2 linked regions of the Macaca mulatta genome follow. The protein of the gene in region 2 interacts with the protein of the main gene of each other region in a biochemical or structural test. Links are inferred from orthologs where the notes say so. Each region holds a gene or a part of one and is shown on either strand. Other genes may lie near its edges.

Region 1 (5,728 bases), on a different chromosome or scaffold from region 2:
TGCAGAGCCCCCATGGTGAGCACCCTGTGCCCCACACAGGGGGAGATGATGATAGAGGTTGGCTGTCAATGGATGCAGGGGAAGGGGGTGCCTGGCAGGCGTTGCAGTCTGAGTGTGTCTCCAGGACAAGTGTGTTTCCATGATTGAGGGTGTCTGCAGGCCACAGTGTGTTCCCATGTGAATGCACATATCTGTGTGTGTGCACATGACTGCTTGTGTGAGCAGATCCCTAGTGCATGTCTAGGTGTGTGTCAGTTGTGCATGGGTTTGTGTGTGTGTGCGTGCCTCTGTTTCTGTGAAACTCTTAGGGCCATATGAATTTCTAAAATCTATTCAGATTTTAGAAAGGTAATCTGGGGCCAGGTGTGGTGGCTCACAGCTGTAATCCCAGCACTTTGGGAGGCTGAGGTGGGCGGCTCACTTGAGGTCAGGAGTTCGAGGCCAGCCTGGCCAACACGGTGAAACCCCGTCTCTACTAAAAGTACAAAAATTAGCCAGGCATGGAGGCACGTGCCTGTAGTCCCAGCTACTTGGGAGGCTGAGGCAGGAGAATCGCTTGAACCCGGGAGGTGGAGGTTGCAGTGAGCTGAGATTGTGCCACTGCACTCCAGCCTGGGCAACAGAGTGAGACTCTGCCAAAAAAAAAAAAAAAAAAAAAAAAAAAAAGAAAGAAAGAAAGGTAATTTGGTGGATATGCCAGCTATCACATAACACTCCTAGCAGGGTTTGAGATAGCCCACTGTGGTCAAAGCACTGCTATTTCTGCAGCCAAAGTAAGATTTCCACAAGGCAGTTCAAACACTCATAACCTCATGTCAGGTTCAGGCTGGGTTTTGCCACCAAATGAGCTCTAGTGCCAATCTTAAGGAAATCTTTTGGTTTCAGACTTTTTTGGAATTTGGGACTGGGTTAAGAGATTTTGGGTCTGTATATGTCTCTGTGTGTACGTGGTTGAGAATGTATGTGTGTGTGTTACGTTTTTGTCTGAGTCACTGTGAGAATATGTGGTTTATGTGAGTTTTCCTAGCGTCTGTGTGTCTCTTGTGGGGTCTGTGTGTCTCCTGCAGGGTGGGGGGAGGTGCCGTAGGCAAAACATGGGGTTTTATTTGGAGAGGTGGCCTGGAGATGGAGGTACTGCTGTCCTCTGCCTTGCTCTTTGACAGGGGCCACCTGAACTTAGTACACGGCACCCGAGTTTAGTACAGTAGCACCTGTGCTTAGTACATGGCACTTGTGCTTAGTACATAGCACCTGCATTTAGTACAGTAGCACCTGCGCTTAGTACGTAGCACCTGTGCTTAGTACAGTAGCCCTGCACCCACGCCTCCCGTTCCCTTTCATACCTGCTGTCTCCAGGTGACACAAGCTGGAGTTGGTTTCTGGCCTCCTCCAGGCTCCCCTGCATCAATCCCAGCTGAGCAGTTCCCTGTGATGGGGAAAGGGTCTGTCCCTCTATCTGGAGCCCCCAGTTTTGAAAATCAGTCCTGGATCTCCAATTGCTGCCCAGTCTGGTTGTTCAGCAGGCTCCATGGCCCCCTTTCCCCGGTCCTGAGGCCTGGGACGGGGGCTGTCAGGCACGTCTGCCACGTCTGCCCCTCTCTCCCCTGCGGCCAGCCCTCTACAGCCACAAGCCCGAGGTGGCCCAGTACACCCACACGGGCCTGCTCCCGCAGACTATGCTCATCACTGACACCACCAACCTGAGCGCCCTGGCCAGCCTCACGCCCACCAAGCAGGTAAGGTCCAGGCCTGCTGGCCCTCCCTTGGCCTGTGACAGAGCCCCTCACCCCCACATCCCCGGGACTCAGGAGGCTGCTCTGCTCCCCCAGGTCTTCACCTCAGACACTGAGGCCTCCAGTGAGTCCGGGCTTCACACACCGGCCTCTCAGGCCACCACCCTCCACGTCCCCAGCCAGGACCCAGCAGGCATCCAGCACCTGCAGCCAGCCCACCGGCTCAGCGCCAGCCCCACGGGTGAGAGGCCCTGGCTCCACCCCCTCCCTTACTATCTCCGACCCCTTCCCCATGTTGGTCCCACCCCTTTTGTTGCTGTCCTGTCACTGTGGGGCTGTGCATGCAGCAGGCCTAGGCCATGTGGGGAAGCACTGGCAGGCATGGGGGGTTGGGTGGGGTTCCCCGCCTCCCAGACATGGCCTGTGTGCCCATGAAGCCCAAGAGGCACAGGTGACCCCAGGAAGACAGGGTTCACCTTGCAAGAACATCTCAGGGGCTGGATTGAGGAAAAAGATGAAGTCATGATAAGGAGCAGGTCTGTGAGCCAGAAGCAACTCTTGCGCGTGTCTGGTTTGGCTTGGCTCAGGGTTGAACATTCTTTGAATTTGTTGCTAACATTTCAAAATCAGGAATTTTCACATAGAAATCTGGATTTCTGGCATCTTTTGGGAAATTGGAAAAATTCATACTCCCATATAACAGCTCACCAGGCCTCACTGCATCCACTCACATTGGCTCCAATGACCCCTGGCGGTGGGGTGGTCACCTGAGTTTGTAATCTATGATGTCATTATCAGGAGTGGGCACTTTGGAGTCAGGTGGCTGGGCTTTGCAGCCTGTCTTTTTGCAAGCTGCCCCCTTTCTATAAGGTTCCTGGACCCGGCCCTGGCAGCTGTCGTGACAGCCACCGAGGCCATTCTATGTCCTGGCATTCACCCCGTGAGGCATCTGCATGATCACCCCCATTTTACGGATGAGAAAGTGGACACTTAAGGAGGGGAGGGACTTGCCTCATCTCCCACAGCTACCAGATGGCAGGGCCAGGACTCGAACCCAGGTCCAACCTCAAAGCCCATTCTCTTAACCATGGCCATCAGTCAGGGTTCTCCAGGAACACAGAACCGATGCATTTACCTGAAGGACTTGGCGCGTGTCTGCAGGGGCTGGCAGGCCTGAAATCTGTTGCTGGCAACTCCGGGGAGTGAATTCTGCAGCCTTGAGGCAGAATTCCTTCTTCTCTGGGAAACTGGTTTTTGCTCTTACGGCCTTCCACTGATGGAGAAGGCCCACCCATATTTTCAGGGTAACCTCCTTCACTCAAAGTCAACTGATTGTGGCATTAACCACATCTACAGAGCACCTGCATTCACAGCAGCGCCTAGATTAGCGTTTGGCTCAGCCTAGCCAAACCAACACGTACAACTACGTACCCCGGCATCTCACCGGGGCTTCTCCAGTGTTCCCACTAAGATGTACTGAGGCCACTCCCTGGGCGGCCCCGGACCCTGGCTGGCAGGCTCCCCTTGTTAAGAACCGAGGGTAGAGGTGTGACTTTGGGGTTCCTGTTATCTGCTGTGATCCAGGAGGTGTGGCTCTGCCTCCTCATCCCAAGTACCCCTCGGGACGGGCAGGTGGGGTGGGTGTGGGTGCCTGGTGGGTGGTCAGCAGCCTCGTTTGCCTCCGCAGTGTCCTCCAGCAGCCTGGTGCTGTACCAGAGCTCAGACTCCAGCAACGGCCACAGCCACCTGCTGCCGTCCAACCACAGCGTCATTGAGACCTTCATCTCCACGCAGATGGCCTCTTCCTCCCAGTAACCACGGCACCTGGGCCCTGGGGCCTGTACTGCCTGCCTGGGGGGTGATGAGGGCAGCAGCCAGCCCTGCCTGAAGGACCTGAGCCTGCTGAGCTCCTGTGGCCCTTCCTGGACAGCTGTGCCTCGCTCCCCACTCTGCTCTGATGCATCAGAAACAGAGGGCTCTGAGGCGCCCCAACCCATGGAGGGCTGCTTGGGTTGCACAAGAGGGGGCCATGGAGAGCTAGGAGCAAAGCCTGTTCCTGGCAGATGGAGGAGGGACTGTCCCTGCTGTGTGGGACACAATCTGCTTACTTGGAACAGAAGGGGGCGGCCTATGACTTGGGCACCCCCAGCCTGGGCCTGTGGAGAGCCCCGGGACCGCTACACCACACTGGCAGCCACACTTCTCAGGAAACAAGCCTGTGTAGCTGTGACCTGCTGAGCTCTGAGAGGCCCTGGATCAGCGTGGCCTTGTTCGGTCACCAATGCACCCACTGGGCCACTCCATCCTGCCCCAACTCCTTCCAGCTAGTGACCCACATGCCACTTGTACTGACCCGATCACCTACTCACACAGGCATTTCCTGGGGGGCTACTCTGTGCCAGAGCTTGGGGCTCCAATGCCCGAGCCCAGGGAGGCCGAAGCTAACAGGGAAGGCAGGCGGGGCTCTCCTGGCTTCCCCTGTCCCCAGCGATTCCCTCTCCCAGGCCCCGTGACCTCCAGCTTTCCCGGGTATTTGTTCCCAAGAGCATCACGCCTCTGAGGCCAGCCTGGCCTCCTGCCTCTACCGGGAAGGCTGCTTCAGGGTTGGGAAGTTGTCCTTATTCCTGTGGGAGCCTCGCAACCCATGCCAAGTCTAGGTCCTGGTGGGGCAGCTCCTGTCTCGAGGGCCCTGCAGACCCTGCCCTTATTTGGGGCAGGAGTAGCTGAGCTCAGAAGGCAGCAAGGCCCGAGCAGCTGAGCAAGGCCCAAGCGGCTGGCCAAGCTGAGGTGCCCAGAAGAAAGAGGTGACCCCAGGGCACAGGAGCTACCTCTGTGGACAGGACTAATCGAATCCTGGGGGTCTGGCTGGCTGAGGGCAGTTCGTAGCCACCCTGAGGAGTCCGAGGTCCTGAGCACTGCCAGGAGGGACAAAGGAGCCTGTGAACCCAGGGCAAGCGTGGTCCCACATCCCTGGGCCTGCTGCTGAGCACCTGGCCCTCAGTGCACCGCCTCCACCCTGGGATTCAGGAAAAGGCCTGGGGTGACCCAGCACCCCTGCAGCTTGTAGCCAGCTCGGGTGAGCGGCACGTTTATTTAACTTTTAGTAAAGTCAAGGAGAAATGCGGTGGTAATTTCTTGCTTGTCCACAAATCATTCAGACGGGGTTTGGGCCGGCAGAGGGAGGCTGGGGCAGGCCCGGGGTCTGCGAAGAGGAGAGGGGCTCCCGCACTCACGCTCTCACACCCCACGTCTCTGCTTTTCTGGCTCTGCTGAGACTCGAATGACGAAGCCAGATTTCATCTTAACCTCAAGCTTCTACTTTAAAAAACAATTTCGTTTTGGAGACAGGGTCTCACTGTCACCCAGGCTGGACTGCAGTGGCATTATATGGCTCACTGCAGCCTTGACCCCCTGGGCTCAAGGGATCCTCCCACCTCAGCCTCACAAGCAGCTGGGACCACAGGCGCTCACTACCACGCCCAACTAATTTTTGTATTTTTTTTTTTTTTATAGAGACGAGGTTTCACCATGTTGCCCAGGCTGGTCTGGAACTCGGCTCAAGTGATCCACCTGCCTCGGCCTCCCAAAGTGCTGGGATTACAGGTATGAGCCACCGTGCCTGGCCACGAGCTTCTACTTTTTTTTGTTGTTGTTGAGATAGAGTCTCACTCTGTTGCCTAGGCTGGAGTGCAGTGGCGCAATCTCGGCTCACTGCAACCTCTACCTCCTGGGTTCAAGTGATTCTCCCGCCTCAGCCTCCTGAGTAGCTGGGATTACGGGCGTGTGCCAACATGCTCAGCTAATTTTTGTATTTTTAGTAGAGACGGGGTCTCGCCATGTTGGCCAGGCTAGTCTCAAACTCCTGGCCTCAAATGATCCACCCTTCTTGGCCTCCCAAAGTGCTGGGATTATAGGCGTGAGCCACTGCACCCGGTCACAAGCTTCTACTTCTTGCAGAATGCCTTTGTCACATGACACCTAGTCCACGAGTGCTG
Region 2 (5,380 bases):
CTTGACTAGCAGATGGTACCCGTGGGCACAGCACATGTGGCTAGTGATCAAAGAGTGTTGTATGACCCCAGGCCACCACCTGCCCTCTCTGAGCCATTTTTTCTCTGGCCCATTTTCTCCCCTCCCTCGCAGTGCACCTGAAGCGGCACTTCATGTTCCGGAACCACCTGTGCCTGGTGTTCGAGCTGCTGTCCTACAACCTGTATGACCTCCTGCGCAACACCCACTTCCGCGGCGTCTCGCTGAACCTGACCCGGAAGCTGGCGCAGCAGCTCTGCACGGCACTGCTCTTTCTGGCCACGCCTGAGCTCAGCATCATTCACTGCGACCTCAAGCCCGAAAACATCTTGCTCTGCAACCCCAAGCGCAGCGCCATCAAGATCGTGGACTTCGGCAGTTCCTGCCAGCTTGGCCAGAGGGTACGGGGCAGCCCGGTCCTGGGAGCAGGGCTAGTGGTTTGGGTGAGGCAGGGCCAACAGGAGGCTTAGGGGCGGGGCTTGGCTGGGATGGGATTATTAGGAACTGCTGGAAGTGAAGGATAGTGCTTGGGGTGGGGGTGTGGATGTACTGCCCACTAGGATGGGGAGGGTGAAGCCTGAGGGGGCAGGGCTCGTTTTGAAGCTGCCAGATGTGAACAGGGTAAAGTTGGGTTGGGTTTGAGCCCTGGGTGCTGCTTTACTAAGTTTTTGTGTTCTGTGTTCTTAAAGCCGGGGATGGAGGTGGAAGGCTTCAACTTTGCAACTCTGTGTGAGCTGCCACTAAAAATGACAATAGTATAGGGCTGGTGGAATGTCAGCCTCTGCCTGGTGACCCAGAAAGGCCCAGGATCGGGGTTGGGGGTGGAGATCAGGGTCTCTTTAGGCCAGCAGGCTCCCCAGATTGATAAACAAGATGGCACCAGTGGCTCCCAGAAAACTGGTGCTGATAATGGCAGGATTTGGAGCCTCAGTCCCCATTTTGTCAGCAAGAGGCTTGTCCTTAGTTGGGTCCTCTTAGCTTTGGGGGTGTCAGTGGGACCAGTAGAGGAGGCTGGGACCCTTGACGATGACCCTTTTCCCAGATCTACCAGTATATCCAGAGCCGCTTCTACCGCTCGCCTGAGGTGCTCCTGGGCACACCCTACGACCTGGCCATTGACATGTGGTCCCTGGGCTGCATCCTTGTGGAGATGCACACCGGAGAGCCCCTCTTCAGTGGCTCCAATGAGGTGTGCCCCCAGGAAGGGGTGTGCTGGAGGTGGAGGGGGTGGAGCCTGGCTGGCCTGATGACCCTGACTCCCGCCTGCTCACAGGTGGACCAGATGAACCGCATTGTGGAGGTGCTGGGCATCCCGCCGGCTGCCATGCTGGACCAGGCGCCCAAGGCTCGCAAGTACTTTGAACGGCTGCCTGGGGGTGGCTGGACCCTACGAAGGACAAAAGAACTCAGGAAGGTGCGGCCCCTGCCCCACGCCACTCCTCCCACCCCGTGGCCCCTCACTCACACTTGGGGCTCTCTCCCCCTGCTCCCTCTCCCTTGTGTCTTTCCCTTCCTTCCTGTCCCCCTTGTCTGTCTTTTCCTTCCTTCCCTGCCCACCCCATCTCCCATCTCTCCTTCCCACCCCACAACTCTTCTTAGCTTTTCTTTCCACTTTCTCTCCTGTGCCTCTGTTTCCCCATGTGTGTCTCCCTGCCCCTCCTGCCCACTGACGGCCACTCTCTTGCCCCCCCTCCCACCCCCTCCCTGCCAGGATTACCAGGGCCCCGGGACACGGCGGCTGCAGGAGGTGCTGGGCGTGCAGACGGGCGGGCCCGGGGGCCGGCGGGCGGGGGAGCCGGGCCACAGCCCCGCCGACTACCTCCGCTTCCAGGACCTGGTGCTGCGCATGCTGGAGTATGAGCCCGCCGCCCGCATCAGCCCCCTGGGGGCTCTGCAGCACGGCTTCTTCCGCCGCACGGCCGACGAGGCCACCAACACGGGCCCGGCAGGCAGCAGTGCCTCCACCTCGCCCGCGCCTCTCGACACCTGCCCCTCTTCCAGCACCGCCAGCTCCATTTCCAGTTCTGGTGGGTGCCCACGTGCCCAAATGGGGTACAACAGGGGTGGGGGCTGCTCAGGTTTGGCCTGTCCTAGGGGACCTTGTTACTGGGTCTTCACACAAGAGCTCTGAAACTGTTTGATCCTGAACTCTAAGATGATGTGTGGGATGGGAGAGCTCCAGCTGGCCCTGACACAATCTCTGAAATTGGACTTGGGCTCAGATCCCTGAAACTGGTTCTGACTCTAAAACCCAAAACTGAATTCCAATCTAAAATCTCAAAATTGGGCCTGGTTCTTCAGATGGGCTCTGATCTTGAAGCCTGAACCTGAGCCTGGGCCATGAACTTCACTCAGCCATCCCAAAACCCACTTGCCACCTTCTCTCACCTTATGCCCCTTCACCTCTCCTCCCTGGCACTTCCAGGAGGCTCCAGTGGCTCCTCCAGTGACAACCGGACCTATCGCTACAGCAACCGATATTGTGGGGGCCCTGGGCCCCCTATCACAGACTGTGAGATGAACAGCCCCCAGGTAATGAAGCTTTGGGGGCTTTGGAGGTGGGTGGTGGTGCCTGGGGCTTAAGGACTGGGGTCTCCATCATCCATTGCTCCTTTGCTTTTTTAGGTCCCACCCTCCCAGCCACTGCGGCCCTGGGCAGGGGGTGATGTGCCCCACAAGACACATCAAGCCCCGGCCTCTGCCTCATCACTGCCTGGGACCGGGGCCCAGTTACCCCCCCAGCCCCGATACCTTGGTCGTCCCCCATCACCAACCTCACCACCGCCTCCGGAGCTGATGGATGTGAGCCTGGTGGGCGGGCCTGCTGACTGCTCCCCACCTCACCCAGCGCCTGCCCCCCAGCACCCGGCTGCCTCAGCCCTCCGGACTCGGATGACGGGAGGTCGTCCACCCCTCCCGCCTCCTGATGACCCTGCCACTCTGGGGCCTCACCTGGGCCTCCGTGGTGTACCCCAGAGCACGGCAGCCAGCTCATGACCCTGCCCCCTCCCTGGGGCCCCTCCTGAAGCCATACCCCCCCCATCTGGGGGCCCTGGGCTCCCATCCTCATCTCTCTCCTTGACTGGAATTGCTGCTACCCAGCTGGGGTGGGTGAGGCCTGCACTGATTGGGGCCTGGGGCAGGGGGGTCAAGGAGAGGGGTTTGGCCGCTCCCTCCCCACTAAAGACTGGACCCTTGGGCCCCTCTCCCCCTTTTTTTCTATTTATTGTACCAAAGACAGTGGTGGTCCGGTGGAGGGAAGACCCCCCTCACCCCAGGAACCTAGGAGGGGGTGGGGGCAGGTAGGGGGAGATGGCCTTGCTCCTCCTCGCTGTACCCCCAGTAAAGAGCTTTCTCACATGCCTGCCTGAGCGTTTGCAGGGCTTCGGCTCCCCTCACCTGACCCTCAGAGGCGTGGTGGGGAAGGGGGTTTGCGGAGGGGGTGCTGGAGGAGCTCTGTGGTGTGGAGACGTCTCTTGTGGGGAAGTTGTGGCTCTTGTTGCAGGCATGGGGCTGCAGGTCTGGGGCACCAGCTTTCTAGAGAGATCGTGGATGGGATCCTGATCGTGGATGGGATCCTGGCCTACATTTGCCTTTTCTTGGGTAAACAGACTGAAAGGGTAAAGGCTCAGCTCTGGCCTGTCTCTGGGAAACAGGTGCCCTAATAAGCCGGGGCGTCCGCAGAGCCAGCACAGGAGTGGCTCCTCAGGCCAAGCAGGCGTCCAGTAGCCGCTGAGTGCACTTAGCAGGCTTTGTTGGCGCCAACTGGGGAATAGGCAGACAATAGGTACAGACTCTGCCCCCACATGTGTACTATCCAACCCTTTGGAATCATCGCGAAACAAAGTGTTTTGAGATTCTAAGGAAAAAAGATTTTCCCGGGGTTCCAGGTAAGTGGTCCTGTTTCCATGGTAATTTGGAAATGTACGTCTCCCAACCGGCCAATCAAGAACTGCCCAGTTCAAAGGGTACCGTCTCCCACCACTGGGGCGCGGCGCTTTCTGGGAAATGGAGTTCTACTTAGTCGCTTTCTGCGGTGTCGGGGAACTACGGCAACCAGAGTTCTTTTCGCTCAGGCTTGGGGGCGGGTTTTCAGGCAGCCAATGAGCAGTCTGAGGTATCCGGGTCCTGGATGTTCGTGGTGGTTAGGAGGTGGAGAGAAGACCGTGATTGGGTGGCTTTGGCGCAGGTGATGAGGTCTTCGAGGTGTGCGGAAGGTGGGCGCGGCGCCGTGCCGGGAGAGCGTGCCGGTTGTCGCTCACAGTTCCGGAGTGGGCGGTAGACTCCGAGGCCTGAAGGGGCCCCAGCACGGGGACATTACTGGCTGCTGTGCCTGGCCCGGCTTGCGGGAAGCCCCGCTCAGCGGGAGAGACAGGCAAGGACCCCGTCGTGGACCTATGTATGTTCACTAATGGAGGCGGCGTGGAACGCGGTGGGAACCCGAGGAGGCCCTGGTAGGAAGATCATCCCGGAAGACTAGGAGCTGTCTGAGCTGAGACCTGAAGACGGAAGGATGTTTTGGGGGGTCGGGGGCGGTGTGGTGGAATGGCTTGAGCAAAGGCAGAAACAGCTTGATGTGTGAACATGGACTGCAGGTGATCTGATGTTGGTGATCATACTGAAAGTTCTCTATGAATGAGATGTGGAAGATTTTCTTGACCATTTAGGGAACTTGGATTTTGTCCTGAGGGCAATGAAGAGCCATGGGAGGATTTTTAGTGGGGAAGGGGTACGGCCCAGTTTGCTGTGACATGAGAATAGATTAGCAGGAAAGTGACTGGGATCGGGCAACCCAGGGTGGCAGATGTGATAGATTTCTAGGCAAGAGATGTTGGGAATGGATCAGGGCACGGGTCACTGTTGGGAGGGCAAGAGGGGATGGGAGAGACGTCCAGAAGGTTGACAGGCTGTGTGGGAGGGGGAGGCAGGGAGGAGTGGGGAAGGGATATCTCCAGCACATAGAGCAGATGCTCAGTAACTAATGTCTTGAATGAACAATCCTAGGAGGCAAGTGCTGATGAGATCTCCCATTTGTAAATGATACCTAGGACAGAGAAGGTTAGGTAACTTGACCAGTATCGATAGCTAGGAAGGGGAGGGCCCAGGATGTGTGTGTGTGTGCCATTAACTTACCAAGGAGGTATCAGCAGGGCAAGATCATGTAGGTCTTGTGAGGAATTTGGGAGAGCCATGGAAATGTATATGTCACTTTTTTTTTTTTTTTTTTTGGAGACGGAATCTTACTCTGTCGCCAGGCTGTAGTGCAGTGGCACGATCTCGGCTCACTGCAAAATCTGCCTCCTGGGTTCAAGCGATTCTCCTGCCTCAGCCTCCCGAGTAGCTGGGACTACAGGGACGCGCC

Evidence for each region. The genes of interacting proteins can lie anywhere in the genome.
Region 1: of the proteins of DYRK1B (region 2) and HNF1A, one has a biochemical effect on the other in vitro, tested with the Homo sapiens proteins (2 studies listed by IntAct, with this or other methods). The link is inferred for Macaca mulatta from reciprocal best matches to the Homo sapiens genes DYRK1B and HNF1A.

Annotation. Positions count from the first base shown.
Region 1 is NC_133416.1:128,328,310-128,334,037, forward strand, and holds the end of HNF1A (hepatocyte nuclear factor 1-alpha), read left to right. Parts: coding exon 1-15; intron 16-1,614; coding exon 1,615-1,736; coding exon of another isoform or gene 1,737-1,829; coding exon 1,830-2,027; intron 2,028-3,399; coding exon 3,400-3,621; 3' UTR 3,622-4,864; downstream 4,865-5,728. UniProt on the Homo sapiens protein: Transcriptional activator that regulates the tissue specific expression of multiple genes, especially in pancreatic islet cells and in liver. Binds to the inverted palindrome 5'-GTTAATNATTAAC-3'.
Region 2 is NC_133424.1:50,953,141-50,958,520, reverse strand, and holds the end of DYRK1B (dual specificity tyrosine-phosphorylation-regulated kinase 1B), read left to right. Parts: intron 1-132; coding exon 133-419; intron 420-1,060; coding exon 1,061-1,207; intron 1,208-1,291; coding exon 1,292-1,432; intron 1,433-1,729; coding exon of another isoform or gene 1,730-1,849; coding exon 1,850-2,045; intron 2,046-2,443; coding exon 2,444-2,550; intron 2,551-2,643; coding exon 2,644-3,015; 3' UTR 3,016-3,369; downstream 3,370-5,380.